Linked DNA regions of Notamacropus eugenii. The protein of the gene in region 1 interacts with the protein of each later gene in a biochemical or structural test. Links are inferred from orthologs where the notes say so. Each region holds a gene or a part of one and is shown in the gene's direction. Other genes may lie near its edges.

Evidence for each region.
Region 2: the proteins of EP300 (region 1) and ATF4 form a complex in vitro, tested with the Homo sapiens proteins (3 studies listed by BioGRID). The link is inferred for Notamacropus eugenii from reciprocal best matches to the Homo sapiens genes EP300 and ATF4.

Annotation. Positions count from the first base shown.
Region 1 is NC_092874.1:300,163,113-300,173,755, forward strand, and holds the start of EP300 (histone acetyltransferase p300), read left to right. Parts: upstream 1-5,868; 5' UTR 5,869-6,045; coding exon 6,046-6,139; intron 6,140-10,643. UniProt on the Homo sapiens protein: Functions as a histone acetyltransferase and regulates transcription via chromatin remodeling. Acetylates all four core histones in nucleosomes. Histone acetylation gives an epigenetic tag for transcriptional activation.
Region 2 is NC_092874.1:298,748,644-298,759,009, forward strand, and holds ATF4 (cyclic AMP-dependent transcription factor ATF-4), read left to right. Parts: upstream 1-6,264; 5' UTR 6,265-6,402; intron 6,403-6,871; 5' UTR 6,872-6,951; coding exon 6,952-7,177; intron 7,178-7,294; coding exon 7,295-8,109; 3' UTR 8,110-8,193; downstream 8,194-10,366. UniProt on the Homo sapiens protein: Transcription factor that binds the cAMP response element (CRE) (consensus: 5'-GTGACGT[AC][AG]-3') and displays two biological functions, as regulator of metabolic and redox processes under normal cellular conditions, and as master transcription factor during integrated stress response (ISR).

The DNA of each region.
Region 1 (10,643 bases):
TGCCTCCAGCCTACCCCATCTTGCCCCACTGACTGCCTGAGTCTCAGGTTGGCACTCTCCTTCTCTCTCCCTCACTTTTTCAGCTCGCCTTTATGGTTTGTCTTCATTAAAATGTAAGATCTTCAAGAGTAGGGACTTTCTTGTTTTCTGGTTTTTGTATCCCTAGGGTTTTGCACTGTGCCTAGTATATAGTATAGGCACTTAATTAATGTCCATTCTATCCCTTGATTGATTGATCTGTCTATTCAGTCACCCATTCATCCATCCATCCATCCATCCATCCATCCATCCATCCATCCATCCACCCAAACTTCACAGAACAAATCCCCTTCAAAGGGGATTCAGTCAAAGGGGAGGACCTAGAGGGTCAGATGAGGCCTCCAGGCCCCAGGTTCCCCACCCCTGCATCCATCCTCCCCTTGTGCTAACATGACTTTTCTCAAGTGTAGATCTGTCTGACTATGTCCTCTTCCCCCATATCTTCCTCTTCTCACACTTGATATATTCCAGTGATTCCCTCTGACCTCCATGATCAAATATAAAGTCTTCTCTTTAGTTTTAAAGCTCTTCGTAACCTGACCTCTTCCTCTGCTGTTACCTTACACGTGGTTCCTACTCCATGAAATCCCACCAGCCAGCCATATTGCCTTGTTGTTCCTTTCACTTGATACCTCATCTCCCACCTCTGCACTTTTGTACTGGCTGTCCCCTCCACTTGGTATGCTTTGCCCTCTCACTTTCACCTTTTAAGTTTCTCTGGCATGTTTCAAAGCTCAGTTCAAAATGCACTCTCTGCAGGGGACCCTTTCTCATCCTCCACTCTCCCCCCTCCTCACCCCCCAGTCCTTTCTAATTTCTCTTCATCTAATCTGTATACATGATGAATATACCTATATACCTAGTTATGTACGTATTGTCTCCTGCCTTGGAATGTGATCTTCTTGAAGGCAGGTTCCATATTTTTATCTTAGTATCCCTAAAATTTAACAGAGTGCCTGGCATGCAGTAGGCACTTAACACATCAATATGACTGATTTATACCATTTCCTGAATGTGCCATTTCATCTTCCAACTCCTTAGCTTTGCCCAAGCTGTCCCTCCTGCCCAGAATGCCCTCCCTCATTACCTCTGCCTCTTAGAGGCTCAGTTCAACAGCCTCCAGTTACCTGAGACCTTTTCTGATCTCCTCAATCACTGCAATTATTTTTTAGTTACTCTATTTATCTGTGTTCAAGTTGTTTTCCCCAACAGAAAACTTGTTTTGGTTTTGTTTTTTGTAGCCCATAGGGCCTAGCACCTAGCCTTTTAAAAAAATTGTAAGATCATAGGTCTTGATTAGTGCTGTAGAGGAATTCCAGACAAGTGGCCATATTATTTGAATTCATATTTCATATTTTCATTAGGCTTCAACCAATGACCATATTTTACATGACCATAACTTCCAACTGGTGGGTCACCCCAAGGATACTTCTGTCCCATTCTGTCTACTTGCCACATAAGCACAGCCAACACCAGGTCTCTATGTGTGATTTAGCGAGTCAAGAGATCTGAGTAGAAATGTTCAAATGGGCTGAAACCGTCATAAAGAAGTAATTGCAAACCACACTGACAGTAACTTTTCAATGTGGAGAGTTTATGCATGAGGTGGGGGGAAGGGGAAATAGGATGGCTGAGAAGCAGAAACCCTGCTGGTTACAGTTTGAATGGAAAGAAGCAGCTTTGTACAGAGCAAGAGCAGGGACAGAAAAGCAACTTGGTAAATGGTAAGCAACTTGGCTTTGTGGTTGGACTCAATTACTGTTTATTTTTTTTAAATGAGACAATCAGGGTCAAGTGACTTGTACAGGGTCATACAGTCAGTGTTTGAGGCCACATTTGAACTCAGGTACTCCTGATTCCAGGCCTGGTGCTCTATCCACTGTACCACCTAGCTGCCCCTGAATTGCTGTTTTAAAACTTACCAGGGGGGCGACCTTGGGGCAAGTCAATGCCCCTTTGTGGGCCTCAGTTTCCTCCTCTGTAAAATGAGGGAGTTGGGCCTGATGGTCTTCTCCTAAATTTTATGATCTTATGGCCCAAAGTTTAGAAATGTCAGGCTTCTCTGGAGTCCTGAAACTCCCAGGGGAGCAGAGCAGTAAATCCAGGGGGAAGGGTTAGAAATGAGGACTTTTTTTTTCTTTAACCACTGTTCTGATGTCATCTCAGTGAAACAAATTCCTTGCTTTTCCTTCTTACCACTGTCTACCTGCTCCTTCCCTAGGGGAGATATGTGGAGGGAGTGGGGCCTGGAGTTGGAAGGGACACTTACTGGCCCAATGACCCTGGGCAAGTCACTCAGTTTTTTCAGCTGCAGACTGGGGACAAAATAGCACCTCCCTCACCAGGTTGTTGTGAGGATCGTATGAGAGAACTGGAAGGCACTGAGCACACTGCCTGGTACGTAGTAGGTGCTCTATATCCTAGTCATTACTATTTTCTTCCCTTTGCAGGAAAAGAACTTGTGTAATAGAAAGAGCCTCGGATTTGGATCAGAGGAACTGGGTTCTAATCCCAATGCTTTCTCAATAGCTATGTGATCTTGGCCAAATCCTCTCCTACTTCAAGGCCTTAGCTTCCTGAATAGATCATTCAGCAAGAATTTATTAAGTGATTGCTAAGTGCTAGTCAGTCAGGGCAGTTACCAGGGCAGCTAGCTGATACAGTGGCTAGAGCGCCAGGCCTGATGTCAGGAAGTTCAAACTTCCCTGAGTTCAAATCAGGTCTCAGACACTTAACTAGCTGTGTGACTCTGGGCAAGACATTTCACTCTGTTTGCCTCAGTTTCCTCATCTGTAAAATTGAGCTGGAGAAGGAAATGGCAAACCACTCCAGTATCTCTTGCCAGGAAAACCCCAAATGGGGTCAGGAAGAGTCTGATAGGACTGAAACAACTGAACAACATGTTCCAGGACCAACACTTAGTTCTCAGGAGGTGAGTGGGTGGGGAAGACAACAAGCAAATATGTACAAACTATATACAAGATAAATAGGAAATAATTAAGAGAGGGAAGGCATTGGAATGAAGAGGGGTTGGGGAAAGCTTCCTGAAGAACTGGGAACTGAGGTGGGGCTTAAAGAAAGCCAGGAAATGTTATTAAAGGAGGCAAGAAAATGTTCTTCTTAGAGAAGGCCCCAACCAGCAGCTGTAAAATACATAGTCTGAGATTTCTATTTTCTCTGCATACTGAATTTATGTCCATTATATCAATTTATATCCATTATATCATTTGAACCTCCTGAGCACCTAGTGAAGCAGGTATGAATGCAGGTATGAATGAAAAACATTTATCCTGTGCTCAGTATGTGCTAATCAATGGGGTTACAAACACAGGCACTTTAAAGTTTTATTTTAGACATTTTACAGAGGAGGAGACTGAGACAAAGAGCAATTTGCTCATGAGTACACAACTAAGAGATGACAGGGACAAAATTTAAACTTTGGTTTATCCAGAATCTAAGTTCCAGGCTCTTTTCATTGTCGGAGGCCATGTGGACAATCCTAGGATTCCATACTTTGGAGGCAGGAGGTCCTCTCAGCCTAGTGATTGCAAAGAATCAGAGGCAGAAGGGTCTCCAGGGGCCCTCTTGGTCAAATCTCTGAATCGAATCCCCTCCCTCTATCACACACCTGACAGGTGGTCATACCGACTTTGATTAAAGACCTAAAACCAAGGGAGGAGGGGAAGCCCACTATCTTCTCTTTAACCTCCATTTTGTAGAACAGGAAACAGGGATCATAGAAAGCTGGAGGGACCTTCCAAAACCACCTAGTCCAACACCCTCAAGTTTGGGTTTTTGTGAGACTGGAGGAGATATGCGCAGGGGTCATATAAGTATTAAGTGCCAGGGGAAGGCTTTGATTTCTTGTCCTCTGACTCTCGTTTGTACCAAGGGGATGATGACTTGCCAAGCTCTCTCAAACAGTAACAGCTTCAGCTTAGGTCCTCTGCCTGGATCCCAGTCCATACTTACAAAGATTCTATTTGTAAAGTATTAGAACAGCGCATGGCACATAGTAGGCTCTAATAAATGCTTGTTCCTTCGGCCCCCTGCCGCTCCCTCCATCCAAGGAAGGGTGTCAAAACCAAGGGTTCTTCATGCTGTTTATGTCCCTTCTCCGAGTCATGTCATTCAGTGAATAAAATAAAACATAGAGGAGTGTAACTGAAGTGCTGTGATCACGGATGGCAAGTTAAGAGTCTCAGATAATCCACGTCAAATGGAAAAACAGGGGTGGGTCTGGGGGAGGGGGAGGAAAGTGCATTAGGCTCCGGCTGCAGCGGATCCAGGTTCCGTACTACCAGCGGGGCTTTGGGCTATCACAAACCGCTCCCCTGCCCGTGCCTCAGTTTCCTGCTCTGTAAAAGGAGCGGCACGGAGGCAGTCAGTCGGCGCGATCTCTTCCAGCTCTATTTACCAGTAACCCTCCCAAAGTGCTGCGGCCCTCCGTGCCCACCTCGGCCCCGAGGCTGGCGCACTGGCTCGAGTCTCGGCTTTTCCTAGGGGCAACACCTGCCGGACCAGGGCGGGGTTGGCCGGAGTGGCCTGCGGGGGGCGGGCGGGCGCTTCCGATTAATTACATGTCATTCTTTCTTTATTAATCAGGCCTGGGGGTGGGGGCGGCAGGAGCCAGGAATAGGGGTCTGCTAGGTGGGAGGGGGTGGAGGACGGACAGGGGCGCATTAGGAGGCAACCCCCTGCGCAGTGCCTGGGCTCATTTCAGGGCGTAGCACCTTCCTCTCCTCTCTCCCAGCGGAGGCCAGCGCCAGCAACTCCCGCGCCGTCCTTACCCTCCGACTTTAAATTCCTCCTTACCCCCCCCCCCCTTCCGCTCCTCCCCTTTAAGAATGACGCTCGCTTGGGGAGTTTGCGGAAGCCCCCTGCGCGTTGTCGACGGGCGGGCGGGGGGAAGGCGAGGAGGGGGCGGTCCCGGGCTCGGCCAGTGCCCCGCCTCCTGCGGCCTTCTCGGTGCCCATTGTGCGAGCCTATCCGAGGGGGGGCAGGCCCCGCCCCTTCTCCTCGGGTTCCCTCCCCCCGCCGCCGTCCGTCCGTCCGCCTCCGGCCCCGCCCCCTGCCCCCCTCCCCCTTGGCTCATTTCCGGCCCCCGCCGTCGCTACTGCTGCTGCTGCCCCGGCCGCCGCCGCCGCTGCCGCCGCCGCTGCTGCTGCTGCTGCTGCTGCCGCCGCCGCCGCCGCCGCCGCCGCCGCCGCCGCCGCCGGCGCTCGCCTGGGAGCAGGAGGAGCAGGAGGAGGCGGAGGCGGAGGAGGAGGGCTGGGGGAGGAGGAAGAGGAGGAGGAAGAGGGAGGACTAGGCCGAGCGGAGCGGACGGAGAAGAGCGGAGCGCAGCCGAAGCGAGCGCAGCCGAGCGCAGCCGAGCCGAGGCGGCCGAGCCGAGCCGAGCCGAGCCGAGCGCGGCCGAGGCGAGGCGGGGCCCGGGCCGAGCCGAGCGGGCGCCGCGCAGCGCAGCCGGAGCCGCGCAGCCGAGCGCCGCGCCGCGGACGAACAACAGCCGCCATTTTGTTTGGGTGCGCGGCCCGGCCCCGGAGGAGGCGGAGGCGAGGCCCAGGCCGAGGAGGAGGCGGAGGCGGGCGGAGGAGGCCCCGCGGCGCGGCCCGGCCCGAGCCGCCGCCGCCGCCGGAGAGGCAGCAGCAGCGGCGGCAGCGGCAGCACGATGTGAGGCGGCGGCCCGGCCCGACCCGACCCCCGGCGACGAGCCCCCGGGCCGGCGATGAAGACGGCGACGAGGCCGCGGCCCATGGCGCCCCGCAGGCCCCAGCCCCGCCAGCGCCCCGACGAGCGGCCGGGAGCCGCGCCGGCCCCGCCACTAGGGGGGGAGCGTGCGTGAGCGTGAGCGTGCGTGGGAGCCAGTGTGAGTGTGCGTGAGTGTGCCCGCCGGAGCCGGAGCGAGCGAGCGAGCGAGCGAGCGAGAGCCAGAGAGCGAGCGAGCGCCGAGCGGAGCGGAGCCGAGCCCAGCCCAGCGGAGCCCGCGGCCCGCAGCCCGCAGCCATGGCCGAGAACGTGGTGGAGCCCGGGCCGCCCGCCCCCAAGCGGCCCAAGCTCGCGTCCCCGGCCCTCTCTGTGGCCGCCAGCGATGGCACAGGTCAGTCCGGTCGGCCCCAGGTGCGCGGCCCCTGCCGGGGTGGGGAGGTGGGGGGGTTGGGGGGGTGGGCCCCCAATGGCCCGGGAAGCTGCGTCTCCTGGCCGGGCTGCGGGAGCCCGTCGCCTTCCGGGCCCTGAGTCTCCCTCGCCCCCCCACCCCCAGCGCCCGCACGGCTGGTTTTCCTCCCCACTTCCTACTTTTTCCTCCCTTCCCCTTCTTTCCTGGATCTGGGCTGAAATGGTCCCTGCCTCCTTGAGTATTTTCGCTGTGGACCTTGAGTCTCCGAGGCTGGACGTGCGGGGCGTCTTCGCCTTCCCCTTGCCCCGTAATCCTCGGTTCGGGTTTTTTGCCACTGGCGTTCGGAATCAATATGGAGTATGCACGGGCCGAGCTTGCTCTGCATCTCCCGTGGCTTCGCTTGCTCAGACCAAAATGTCTGAAGCTCCTTTAGGCTCAGCAGGTTGAGGAAGAGCGAGGACAAGGGTTAGTTTGGCTTTTTTCGGGGGGGCGGGTGGACCTGCTGGCTCTAGACTGTCTTCTATCGGCTTTTTTGGGTTTGGGGAGCGACGTACAGATTTAGGGAGCGGGGGCCCCGAAAGGCAGGCTGGAAGTTGAAGGCGAAGCTGCGGGTTTCCCAGGATCCAAGAAACCACGAACTGGTTGCACTGGAACTTAGTTGGCAAGGAGTGGTTTAGATTTTTTGGATGCTTCGACTCGGTTCAAGATGCCTAGTTCAGGTTTTTAGCATTCGCAGTTCTCGGTGTTTCACTCTGTTTTGGGCTCGGCGTGGTTTGTGTGTCGATAGAGACATTCGGAGACCCTCTTGCCGTCTCCCACCCTGATGGCCACCGGTCTCCTTGTTCCTTGTTGTGTAGTTGGAGCTGCCAGGAAAATGAAGAGGAAAAATGGCTGGCCATCTGACAGTAAGGGAGACCTTGTTGCTCCCGCCGTGAAGGGTCGGTCTCGATCAGGCGCTAGTTTGGGAACATCTGAAACAGCTCGATGGGAATAGATGGACACAGTGCATCGTGTCCGCCAAGATGGAAGGATGGGCGTTTATTTTGCTAAATGACTTTAAAATCCTCAAGTTTGGAGAGAATTTTACCTAGCCTTTTGGGATATAGACACCATTTTACAGTGGGAGAATGGGAATTTGACAAATGCTTGAGATGGGGTTAATAGGAGTGTAGGAGAACTTTGATATTGGGCATTGGTTTTAAAGGTTAAGACTGGGTTCGTTGCATCTGAAGAACCTTCTCTCCGATGGTATTCAAAAGGAGGAGGGGATTATAAAGGAGGTACACTGCTGTTCTTAAACATGTATTTTTCCATTCTTGAAAGGCATTCCAAATTTGATTCTTGAATTGCGGATCTACCAAGTTCATTTAAAAAACAGTGGAGCATGTATGAACCCTAGAATACATGTGGATATCACTATGTAGATGTGCCTTTGTTAATAATAGGGCCTGATTTACAAATCATTTACTTTGAAATTTGGGTATGTTGGTGAGCACAGACCTCCTGGGAAGATATTTTGGTTTCTTCATACATTTTACAGATGAGAAAGAATTTTAGGTAAATAATTTCTCTAAAAAATATGTATTCACAAGAATCCAAGTTCTTAATTTTTGCAGGTTAGAATGCTAATCTCCAATAAGCTAATTCTAGTTATGAATAGAAATGGTTTATTCAGGTGCCTACTCTGTGCCAAGCCACTTATCCTGGGGGAGTGGGGGTGCTTTAACTTTGATTCACTTCTTACTACTTGAAATTTTCTTATTTTACACAGTAATTGGCATCCTTAATAGTGGCTACCTGAATGTTTCAGTTGACTTTCAGGAGCTCACTAAAGACGTAACTTTCATCTGTTGAATTGTCTGTCTCGATCTAACTTCACTAAATAACTTTTTAAGTGATTTCCTTATTCAATTTTAGTTATGGTGTAAAAGATTTTAGAAACTTGCTCATAGTGATCCCTGGTTTAGAAAGGTCCAACAAATGGTTTCCTTCTGAATTTTTTTTTGTTGGCTAATTTTGACTGGCAAGCTTAGCCTTGGAGTGCTGAGAGTACAGAACTTTGGAGTTCTCCCTCTTGTAATGTGGGAGTGAAGTAAGTACCTGGCCTCTTTTTTTCAGGATTTTAGTCTATAGACTGGATATTATCTAATTTCCCCCTGTCTATTTTTGACATGCAAACTATATTGCCACTTTTGATCCCTTTGGATGATTGAGAGAATTCTAAATGTGTTCACGAGTTATTTTTATAAATTTTGTTGACTCAATATTTGAATAAATATCTTTGCTCATCATATGAGGTTTTCATTTTGCTCCACTTGCTTCGTCTTTCTCTAGTTTTGACCTTAAGATGTGTTTCTCACCTCCCCCAGCCACCCTCTTGAGGAGTAAGAGGTCTTTGCTAATATTTTAACTTTGCTAAAATTTTGTCTTTTAAGAAAGGAAGCTTGTAAGTTTGACATAACATAATTCATAAAATAAATCCTTTTGCATTTTAATATCCAGTGTTTTCCAACTTACAGGTAGTTTTCAATACTTTGGCAACCAACGTCTTTTTTTAGCTTTGGCCTTTTTCTAACTTCAAATTCTATATTTCAACTTTAGAAGAAATGAGTCACCTGTGTTGGTGATAATTTACAAACTAAAACTGTTCACTGTGCTGAGAATTGCTTTGGAGACATAATTGCCAGTGGCATTGCAGATGGATTTGAGTGGAGCCTAATGCCAGGAAATTTTTTCTTTTTTGATAATTCAGTTCCCTTGTTAAAAAGTGTGCCTTTGTAGTAACCTACTGTCCAGGAATTTTGACAGGCAAGTGAAAATGATAATAGATTAAGAAACTGAAAGCCCAGGTTGGTTCCTTGATTTGCCGAAGGTCAAAGCATGTGCAATGGCCCAGCCCGGGTTAAATGGCTTAGCCTTTGAATGAGACTGTCCCAGATGTGTATCAGCACAGTTAGTACTAGGAGCATAGTATGGCCTTAGTATGGTTCCAGGTCTTCTTTTTAGCTGAAGTTTGTCCAAGAGCTTGTTTTTCCCTGCTTGATTTGAGTGACTTATATCAGTTGCTTTTTTAGAACTGAGAGAATGTTAGACTTCTACTTGAACATCGTGGCTTGGAACCAACGGGAACTTGCTTCAAGTTAGTGCTGGACTTGGAGGTAAACAGGTGAGAAAGTGAATTTAGGCCCCAGTAATAATTTTTGGATGGAAGGCTTTCTTGACAGAGTTACTGAAATGACCGATATTAGTGCTTAAAAAATAACTAAAATCTACCGTCAAGTTCAAGTACACGTATCTCTTGAAAAACCATTACAACAGAGCCTTTTCCGTAGGCTTAAATTTATTCTAAATGGTATTCATAACTCATCAGATATAGAGAGAACATACAGATTGATTGTAGAACCTAAAAGTTTGAACTTCCTACTGAAATCTAGGAAACCCCACTCTGACCCTCTTGACTGATGGTGGGTGCTGATTGATCCAATGCCACACAAGTCACAGATTAGGGAAGTCTGACCATGATTTTAGAGGAGCTTTGAATGAAGAGAAGATTTAGAGATGGAATATTGAGCTGCAGGGATCACTCACCATTTTAAAAGAATATCAAAGCTTTTGGAAAGCTCTGATGGTATCAGTTGACTTTGTACAGTTTTCATGTTTGGATTTCATATGCATGTATTTGTTGTGCAGAAGGAGTACTTCATGCCTCGCTAGTGTAGATCAACATAGATAATGCTTGTCTTGGATTAAAGAAAGGTGGCACTTGCATTAAAGGAGACACTGGAGTTGATTGAACTGGGAGTTAGATGAGTTGGTCAGATCTGCATTTTGGAAGGATCTATCTGGCAGCTGAGGGGGATAGGGATTGGAGTGGGGTTTTCATCAAGAGAGAAGAGGGCTAAGTGGTGATGTGACAAAGATTGTGGATAGGAGGGTGGCCCCTCTACCCTGGGAGGGAAGTTAGGGTGGGGTGGGAAGATAATGAGTTGGTTAATGTCTGTTTTGGACTCATTAAATTTGTCTGCAGTGCATCCAATCCAAGATGTATGATAGGTAGTTGGAGCTGCAGGACTGGAAGTAGAAGAGAGGTTGGTGCTGGATAAGTAGATTTGGGAATCATGGATGTAGAGGGAATAAATGCATCCAGGGGAGCTGACAGTTCACCAAGAGAAATTGTATAAAAAGGAAGGAAAAGATGGGGGGGCACACTTATGGTGAGTGGGTGTGATCTGGATGAAGATCCACCAAAGAAAACTGAGAAAGGAGGGATCTTACTGGTAGGAAGAGAACCAGAAGGAGGTCAGTCACAAAAGACCCAAGGTGTCAAGAAGAGGAGGATCCACAGTATCAGGGGCTGAAGGGACATCAGGAAGGATGAGGACTGAGAAAAGGCCACTAGATAGGGCGATCTGAAGCCTGACTGCAGAGCTGAGAAGAAAACAAGAGGAAAGAAAGTGGAGGCATTGGTTACTCAGTGTAGACTTCT
Region 2 (10,366 bases), about 1.4 Mb from region 1:
TTGGAAGAGGGGCACCCTTTGTGCCAGAGGCTGCCAGAACGCATGAATGCCTTCCCTTTGTCATGTATGCCTGTCAGATAGCACCTAGGGGAGAAAGAAGGGCCTTAGAGGGCCAAATGAAGGGGGAAGGGAAAGAAGACTCTTCTTTCTCCCCTTGTTGCCCGCTGCTACAAATGTACTATTTATTGCAATGTAAAGTCATTCTGGGGCCGGGAGATGGGGGGAGGGTTTTAATACATATTGTCATTGTGTCTTACTGTTTTGTGTTTCTTTTTCTGTTTATGGTAAGGGGCTTTTGCTGGCCCTACCTCTGGCCCTCTTACCCAGTATTTTGTATTCCCACTGCCAAATCTGAGTATTTTGCTTCTGCTTTCTCTACCTCCCCACTCAATGAGATTCTTGTACAACTGGGTAACCATCTTTACCTTGTACTTGGGGTAAAATGTTCCACATGACACCAGGTCCTCAGCATCCTCCTGAATTTGTATATTTGTCACAGTCTAGGAAGTGAAGTTCTAGGGGCCCCTTCCCAGAATCCCCACCTCTTACCCTTCATTGCCTACTGAGAAGAGTGGGTGCTTTGACTTTTTGGAGGGGGAGGAGTTGGAAAGATGTCTGTGTGGGATTCTGATTGCTTCTGAGCGATGGGAAGGATGAGAATGCACCTTCCTCAGGGGACTGGAAAGATCCACCCAATAAGGTATTTGAAGTCTCCAGTTTCCCCTCTAGCCTGTGTCTCCAAATCAGCTGTACATTAGTAGCACCTCAGTATTAAATACAAAGCTTCAAAAACAAACCAAACCAGTAAAATCAGGTCCCAGGGTCTCTGGTGAAGTAAAGGCATTTCTCAAGAGGGGAAAAGTGTGTGTGAATGTGAACCGCTTCATCCATTTAGGAAGAATTATTCCAATATATCTTCAGATTCAGACAAGATGATCTTGCCGTACAGTCAGGTAATAGCCCATAGGATCAAAAAGAAAGTCTTTGGGTAATGGTTCTATTGGACACAAAGCTATTGACTGATGAAGGGGAGGGTAGAAGAATTCCAGGTTGAGGGGGGCCAAGGTACTGCTTTCCCTTCAGCAAGCCCCCACATCGGCTCTGTTTGCAGTAACAGCTGATCCTGGAAAAGTTCTTGGCTGGCACAAGCACCTCTCCTCTTGAACGAGTTTATTTGACCTGACTTCATGTCTCAGAAACCCAAATCAATGAGGTTTTGGGGTTCTGCCTTGGCCTAACCCCCAGAAATTTAGGGTAATAGTGGGCATTTCCCCCCAACCCATGTTTGTTTGAGGCATTTTTATCATTAAAGGAAAGAAGTAACTAGTACTTTCTAAGTCCATGCTCCTGATGAAAGGGTTGGCCACCATCTCCACTAGTCCCCTTACCTGCTCCTTTTGCTTCCTTTGCTGCTGCTTCATTGGGGAGAGCAAAGGTGCAGTGGGTCCTGGCAGGGGGGCTGGAAAACAATGGCCCTGGCCCTAAAATTGGCCTGCTAGAGAGACTGACTTTCCTTTCCTGGTTGGGAGTGGGACAGGCCAGACTAGGCTTCCCCAGCTTGAAGCAGATGCCCATCACTTCTCTGCCCTGAGGATTCAGCCCTTGCAAGACCTAGTGATAGCTGAGCAGAGAACCAGGACAGCAGGACGTAGGGTGCTGAAAATGTCTCCTCGGTCACCATCTCTGGAAGCTCATTTGCCCTGTGACCTGCAGGGCTTCTGACCAAGCTCACAAACTGCCTTTTGTTCTGTGGAGTGCAGTATATGCAGTCCTTGATCTACAAACACATCTGGGCTGGTTGGGGTTGGGGGGTGTCTGGGTAAGTGTTCTACTCAGTCCTGCCCAGCACCTTGTCTTTTCTCCTCCCTTCAAACATCAAGGCTAAGGGAGTTGATGACCTTTGAAAGAGTGGGAACGTAAAATAAAAACATTCTTTGCACCAGATTTGACTTTTGTGTTTGATGTAGATCAAACCTATTTTCTCCATGTCTGGAGGCTACTGGTATGGGTAGGGCAGGTTCCTCTGATCTCCCATCTGAGGGTCTTTCCTTTAACCCAAGGAGGTCTTCCTTCAGGACCAGGCAGTTGACTGTAGTGTCCCCATCCTTTCCCTTTGCAGCTTAAAAAGTGGCTTGGTAAGGAGTGTTGGGAGCCAAGGAGAGAACCCCTTTACTTGGCGATGTGCAGCATTAATTTTTGTAGGACTTTGCAGTAATTCAGAAAGATCACATGGTTCCTGTTCCCATGTTTCAGAATCTCTGTGTCTACATACAGAGTGGTTATTCTTCATGTACACACACACACACACACACACACACACCCACCCCCGGATTCTAAGGAGGGAAGACACATGTTGAATTGGACCAAGTATGGTTTCCTTGAAATGTCCCAGTGCAAAAACAACACCTCCTAGGCATGGACCTTTTCTCAGAATTACTCACAAGTGACCCAAATAAAACCCACAGATGTACAAAGGAAATCCCTGGACCCTAAGTTCAGAACAGGACCAGAAGATGCCCCCTCCCCCCCAAGCTGCCTACCAACTTGCTCCCTAATTGGGGATGGAAATTTCTCTTTCCCAGAAAAACTGATGAATAGACTACAGAAATCGGGACATTGCATGCAGCCATCCTCGGCCCCTTCCATTCCCTCCACCCCCATTGCCATTTTCACTCCAAATGAGCCGACTCCCTCTTTTGAGTACTGATATGAGACCACTGCAAATTGTTTAGAGCTGGAAGGGACCTTAGTCCTTATTTTACACATAAGGAAATGGAGGCCCAGAGGATGACTAGTCAATGTTACCTGCACAGGTGATATGACAAAGCCAGAATTTGTACCTGGAGCCATTAACCTTCCCCCTCTAGCACACAGTTTCCAAGTTGAAGTTGGTTCATAAGATTTAGAGCTGGGAGAGATTTGAGGTCATGGAGGTCCCCCCCTCCCATTTTATATCTAGTCACTGTAAGGAAACAAAAAGGCAGAATTTGAACTTAGGTCCCTTAACTATACAAGGGGTGATCAATGTCTTCAGTCTCATCTGCACTAACCCTTAGTTTAAGGCTTGACATATCCGTGGAGTCTCAATAAAGACCTAATTAAGGGGGATCTGGCATGGTTTCTTTCCCTTACTTCTTTTCAGTCTCAAGTGAAGGCAGGTACAGTCAGCTACTGTATTATATTATAAAGGGGTAGCAGGTCTAGGAAATGGGCCAGGAGGGATCATGGGCTTTTTGAACCAAAGGGGAACTTTGAGGTTACCTAGTTAAAACCACTCCCCCCACCCCACACATTTTAACAGTGACTACCATTGGTTCACCGGATTTGCAATCATCAGAGCCCACGTCATTGGGCAACAACAAACAGACCCAGAGAAGGTAGAGTGATTCTCCAGGATTCAGGGCTGGCAGGACCCTTGGAGGTCACGTGATCACCCAGAGGAGGAAGGTGACTTGTCAGTGTTGGGATCTGAACCCACCTCCTGGCTGAGATTCCATGCTGCTTCTAACTAGTGGAAAAAAATACTTTCCGAATCTGAGGGGAGGGGGAAGACCTGAGAGGTTGCCTAGGACCAGTTTTTCAGAGGAGAGAACTGATGCCCCCAAGGAATGAAGTGATGGCTCCAGATTATAGGTAGCAAGTGGCAGAGCAGAAATGGAAATCCAGGGTAGGTGCTCACCTGCCTGCACACCTGGTCTGGGTAAATCCCATCTACTCTCTCAGCCTCTGATTTCTTACTCTGTTCCAAGAGAGGGCAGTCTGCACACTCTAGGCAGGTGAATTTGACATGTTTCTGGTAAAGTTTGAGACATATGGAAGAGATGGGTCTGTGAATTCAGGCACCATTTCTCTAGTTTTCAGGAAAGTATTTTGACAGTCCTTCACACCATCCTCATGGACTAAAAGGAGAGAGATAATGGTGAGACTATATTTGGGGGATTTGGAAGGGGATGACTGATCCAATTGGAGGGAATAGTAACCCTAACCCTTTTAAGGCCCGAGGCTGATTATTTTTATCTGTGACCTGGATATCAGCAGATGCCAAAGCTAGCAATGAGCTGACGTGCTGAATGACAGAATGAGTCCCCAAAGACCTCAACAGCCTTGGATGATAGAACAAATCTAGTGAATTGCAATGAATAGGGATTAAAGTTAAGGCCCTACATTTGGACAACTGCACAAGGGCAGGATGGATGGCAGAGGCATGGCGAGACAGTTGCTGTGCAAACAGTATGGGCATTTTTGTAAGCAAGAGTCAACAGTAAGACACAGCTGCCTTTAAAAAAGCTCTTGGAAACAATGCATTTATTTAAGAGGTGCACCATGTTCAAGACCAGGGAGGGGAGTCCTGCCATCTTTCATTCTGTCAGCCTACACCTGGGGGATCCTGTTTGTTTCTAAAACTAGGACATTTGGCAAACTGGATTACATGCCAAACAAAGATCAGCTGGCAGGACCAGGGAGTGTTTAGCCTGAAAAAGAGGAGGGGATAGGGATGAGGGAGGGGGGAAGAAAAAGGAGATGTGATGGGCTGCCAGGGGAAGGGAGATCAAATTTGTTTTGGTGCCAGAGGGTGAGGAGAGGGAGGCAGATCTCAGCGCAACTCAAGGAAAACTTAGCAATTCTAGGCTCACAATCCCAGAGTTGGAAGAGCCCATCCATGGACATCCAGTCCAAGCCGCCCCAACCTCCTTCCAAGAGAGGATTCCCTCTGTTAGGGCACGAAGGCCCCGGATTTTTGTCCGTTTCTGTCCCCAGAGCTGCTCTGCGGTGTTTGGACGGCACCAACTTCGAATCTGCCTCCCTTCCCTCTCGGTTTCGTTCTAAAGGGACACCCCCTAAAACCTGTCCCTCCTAAGCTCGCTCTTCTAGTGCACCCCGACAAGGACCACCCCTCCCTCTCCCCACGTCTAACTTAAATGCCCCCCTGGAGTGCAACAGCTGTTTTTGGCCTTGGAATCAATGACTGGGTGGGGGTGGGAGTCTGTCACAACCCCCACCCCTGGGGATGCTTTCGAGTCAGCTGTCTAGACCAGCGGCCCTCCACTTGGCCCTTCTAGAGAAGCCGGTATTTTGGGACCGTGCCCCTGCGCCTGGACATTGATCTTTCTTCGCTTTCACCCAATGTGATCGATCAATCAATCAATCTTTCCAACCAGAGGTAGAAGAGCGCCTGGTGGGAGGACGTCCAATTCAGTCCATTAAGGGGGCAAGGAGCGTCCCTCCACCCCCACCCCGAAGGAGGGGCGCCTCAAACTAGAAGAGGCCGACCCGACGGGGTGAGCCGCCCCGCCCTTCTTGGGGGTCAGGAGAACCAGCCACCTCGGACCGCGTAGCGTGGAGGTCACTGGGCCTCAGTTTCTCCCCCTCCCCCCCGTAATAAATTCGGGAGCCGGGCCAGCCTAGGCCTCAGCCTCCCGTCTCCGGAGGGGGCGGGGCTTCGGCCCGAGCTTAGAAAGAAGGGGGTGGGGGATGGGAAATCCGGCTTCGAGGCCGCCCCAGGCCCTCAGAGCCTGCAGGGACCATGGGTAGCCTGCCGGTGGTGCCGGAACCCAGAACTAGCCAGGGCCTGACTGCGTGGGGGTGGGAGTGACTGTCGCCAGCCACCTGTCGGGCCCCTCCCCGCCGCCACGGCCCGCCCGACGCCATCCCCTTCCCGCGCCCGCCGCCTTCTTCCAAACCCGCCAGTCGTTGGACTCTGGACCAATGGGAGCTCGAGCTAGGGGTTGAGTCATCCCGCTGCGGCCAATCAGCGCTGTGGCCTCACCCACGCCCCTCTTTCTTCATCGAGTCTCGCGCGATTTCTGAGTTTCCTCGCGACTCCACATTGATGCAAACAACGCCGCATAGATTGTCACGCTCTACCTCCCAGCCACTCCCAGCCCCGCCCTCGTTCCCGGATGCTGGAGTGAAGCGACCGCGTCTTGGATTCTTCCGCAATCCGCTGGGGGGAGAAGGGAGGGGAGTTGTGAAAATAGTCCCTGACCTTCCGCCAGTTTGGGGGAGATTTTAAAAGGCATTTGTCTCTTCCCTTTCTTTGGCAGCCGAGAATCGTGACCGGAGCTGGAGGAAGAGAAGGGGACCGAGAGACATAGAGCGACGGAGGTCCGGGAGAGCGACCACGTGACGCCGGCGGAAGAATACCTAGGCAGGGGAGGCCGCTCGCGTCACTGGTAGCGCGCAGTATAAGACGCTGGAGGCCGGCGCGGCCGCCATTTTCACGCCCGCCCAAGCAGAGACTCAGTGGTTCCCGTGCTGCTCGGCTCGGCCCGACCCTCGCCATCCCCGACGCCCGCCATGGCGTTCTAGAGGCGGCAGCGCCTGCGGCAGCATCGGCCCTTGCAGCGGCGGCGGCAGCAGCTCCGGGCTCTGCAGCGGCAAACTCGAGCGCGAAGCCATGGCGTGAGTGGGGGGGAGGGGGAGCGGCCGCGGGAGGTGGGCCTCGGGCTTCCCGGGCTTGGTTTGGCTGTCTGTTCCGTACGTGTCGGACTAACGAAACAGGTCGCGCTGTTGTCTGTCTCTAAACCCGTTTTGGGGGAAAAGTGCGCAGTCCCGACCTCCCCCATGCAAAGCGTCCGTGCCGCCCCCCTTCGGGGGAGAACGAGCCCCCTCTTGTGACGGGAGGGGCTGGCGCGGGCGCGCTGCCAGCGCCAAACGTGGCAGGGAGGGCGCTCCAAGGAGACAAGATGGCCGGCGCTTCCGCGCGGGGGTCGGAGGGGGGCCGCGGGGCGGGGCGTGAGTCACTCTGGCCGGCGGGGGCGGGGCGGCGCCTCGAGCCGTACATGGACTGCGGGCGGAAGTGGGGCCCCGCCCGCCCTCGGGGAGGGGGATGGGCGGCGGGGGTCTCACGGCTCGCGCCCGGCTCTTGCAGGCTTTCCAAGGCCTCCAGCAGCAGCATTGCTGTCAGCCGAGACTCCTCTGCCTTCCTCCAACTGACGAAAGCCCCGCAGCATGACGGACATGAGCTTCCTCAACAGCGACCTGTGGTTGGGGGACTTGCTGTCCCCCTTGAGCCAGTCGGGTTCGGCGGTTGAGGAAAGCCTGAGCCCCTTCGATGACTACCTGGAGGAGGCCAAGCCCTTCAAATCGCATGGGCTCCCCAGCGACCAGGCTAAGGCAGTCTCTCCCGATTGGCTGGCTGTGGATGGTGTGGTCAACGCCACAGACTACGGCAAGGGTAAGAGTGGGGTGGGGGGCGGGGCCGTGGGCGGAGGCTGCCCGCCCCCCTGCTCGCTGCGGCTCGTGGTCCCACCTGGTCACCGCTCACAGGGTCACGGGCTGCTTTGTCTTGCAGAGGATGCCTTCTCCGGCATGGATTGGATGGTGGAGAAAATGGATCTGAAGGAGTTTGATTTCGATGCCTTGTTGGGTATGGATGACCTAGAATCCACCTGCTCTGAGCTCATTGCCACGTTGGAAGACTCATGTGATCTGTTTGACCCCTTGGCCTCTACTAACAAAGATTCCCCTTCAACAGTCAGTTCAATTGGCCAGTTCCCCGAAACTCTACTTGAACCTGATCATGTCACCCCCCTCACCTCCCATCCGTCTTTTCCCTTTTCTGTAATGGCCCTGATCTCCACGCCAGACCATTCTTTTAGTTTAGAACTAGGTAGTGAAGTGGATGTCTTGGAAGGAGACAGAAAGTCAGAAGCTGTTTATGGGGTGATGCCTAAGGACATCAAAGAGGAAGAACCCCCTTCAGATAATGACAGTGGAATTGGGACCTGTACCAGCCCCGAGTCCTACCTAGGCTCTCCCCAGCATAGCCCCTCCACTAACATGGGTTTACTGACTGAGAGCCAGCTCTCTTCAGATGCCACATTTCTCTCAGCCCGCCTGAAACCATACGACCGTCCCCTTGAGGACAAGAAAGAGAAAAAGGTAGATAAAAAACTAAAGAAAATGGAACAGAATAAAACTGCTGCCACGAGATACAGGCAGAAAAAGCGGGCAGAGCAGGAGGCCTTATCTGGGGAGTGCAGAGAGCTAGAACAAAAGAATGAGGCTTTGAAGGAGAAAGCAGATGCCCTTAGCAAAGAGATTCAGTATTTGAAGGATTTGATAGAAGAGGTCAGGAAAGCCAAGGAAAAGAGGAAAAGTCCCTAAGTTGTTGGGTAGTCATGTACTTTGTGTGTATATAGGAGTCTTGTGCTGTCTTACTCAATAAATTATTTTGTAGTAAAAGTGCAACTTGGTAGTTTTAATGTGCTTCATCAGAAGGCTGGACTCTGAAAACGCTTTTGAGAGGGCAAATTTTAGTTGGAGGAGGGAACCAACACAAGGTACCCTAGATCAGCTGGAGGTTGGGAACAAATCTGAAGGACAACACAATAATGAGAAAACTTCAGGGCCCTGGAAATGACGCCTGTGTCCCTGGGTATCCAAAATACTGAACCTACAGAAAAGGGAACGTCAGGAATCTTTACCCGTAATTTGTACGTAGAGTAAGGAGAGAAGCGTGTCTGCTCATAAGCTTGAGATTCTTTGTGAGACTGGGCAAGTTAAATTACTATGAGCCATAAATTTATTACTCCAACCCTAGCACTGTGTGGAAGGGGGTCCATAGTTTGAAAGTCAGGGATCTGTCTTCCCATTTAGCTTCATAGGGCAATCCATCTTGGCCAGTCAACTCTTCCCATCCTGGCAAGTGGACTTGCCCCTACGTTTGGATGGGGGTTTTGAGGAGCCCATGATAGCTGTCATCAGATAGTGGTCCCAGCATTAAATCTCAGAAATGAATGAGGCTTGAGAGATAAGCCATAAAAGCATGCTTGCTATCGAGCCATCCTTGCGTCAGGGAAGGGAGTCAAGAAGAAACAGATGGAAAGGGAATGATACCAAGGGTAAGAACGAAGAACGTCATCTTTTGGTCGTAGAGACTGCCAGCGGAACAACGGGAGGTAAGGATGGATGGCAGGAAGGGCAAACATTCGTTCTAGTTCTCCCCCTGCCTCCCAAAAGGAAGAGAATGACGAGTTGCCCCAAGAACAGTGAGTGCATGTTCCCAAGAGGCATTTAGCTAAGCTATGTGTGCCTTTTGTCAAGAACGGCTACTTCCTTTCTTTTTGACCCAGGTCACCAAACCTGGCAGACAGAATGCACTATGGAGACCAATTGGAGACTGTAGCAAAACCTTTGATTAGATGGAGGCATGTGGGCTTAGATGATAAGATAATAAAAGTCAGTAGGTTTGGAACTGAGTTAACAGCTAAGCTCATTAAAGGTTCTAAGTTAAGAATCAGGGCCTGGTCACCTGGGGATGTTTTCCTTTCTAACATTTAACGTTTCTATTAAAGCCTTAAATAGCTGATACTATGCTTATCAGATGTGCTGGTAATTGAAGCTGGGAGGGAAAACTGACAGGTAGGTGCCCTCCCAGGACACCAAAAAAAAAAATGTCAACAGGCTAGAACATTGGGTTGAATTTAATAAAATAAAATGTAGTAGGGATAAATATGAACTCATGTCCAAAAACTGAATTCAGTATAACTTAAAAAAAAATCAAAAGGATGAGTTTTTAAGGGGTTGCAAGTTGAGTGGATCAGCCATGTGATGTGGTTCAGCACAGTCCGGAGAAAACTTGGGGAGGGGGTAGCTATAGTCACAATTGTGGAATGATTCAACTCATCAGCTCAGAATCAGAAGGCAAATTCAAGCTGGACATCAGAAAACGCTCCTGTCAGGTGTCCAGAAATGGAATGGGACTTATTGGGAAAGTGACCACTCTTCCCTGCTTCCAGGTCCTTTGCTGTGTCTGCTGTGGTGAGGATTCCTTTTCAGATATGGTCTAGACAGTCATGTCCAAACCTGAAATTCCATGTTTCTGTGAAATGAACAGGAGTCAGCACATTTTGACTCAGGCCTAAAATTTTTTCTGGTTCCCTGAGGACCTCCATGTCCAAAGAGCTAATTAATTAGCAGGTGAGAAATCATTTTATTGGATCCAAACCATAGAATGTGAACTTTCTTTCTGTGCCACCCCCTGAAAAAGCTAGAAGGGAAGGGGAAGGCTCATGCTTGCCCCCAGGAACTCTGACCATTCCCAGAAGCAGCCCCTCAGGAAATGCACTCCTCAGCGAACTTGGATAAGCTTGTGTTCCCCAGAACAGCCTCCCTGGGGCTCAGAGGGCAGGTCACAGTTAGCTGGGACTCAGCCCTGGGCATTTATTTTGAACTAGTTTTAAATTTGTATTGACTTTTTAACATTACTTTCATGTCTCAGTGAAGGTGTAGGCCACCCCTGGCCCAATGAGCCACCTCTAGTAACAAAGAACAAAAGAGAAAAAAAATGCTTAGCAAAACTGATGCAGACCCCTTCTGACAGCACCTGTGATGTTCCAAACCCAGCCTTTCCACCTATGCT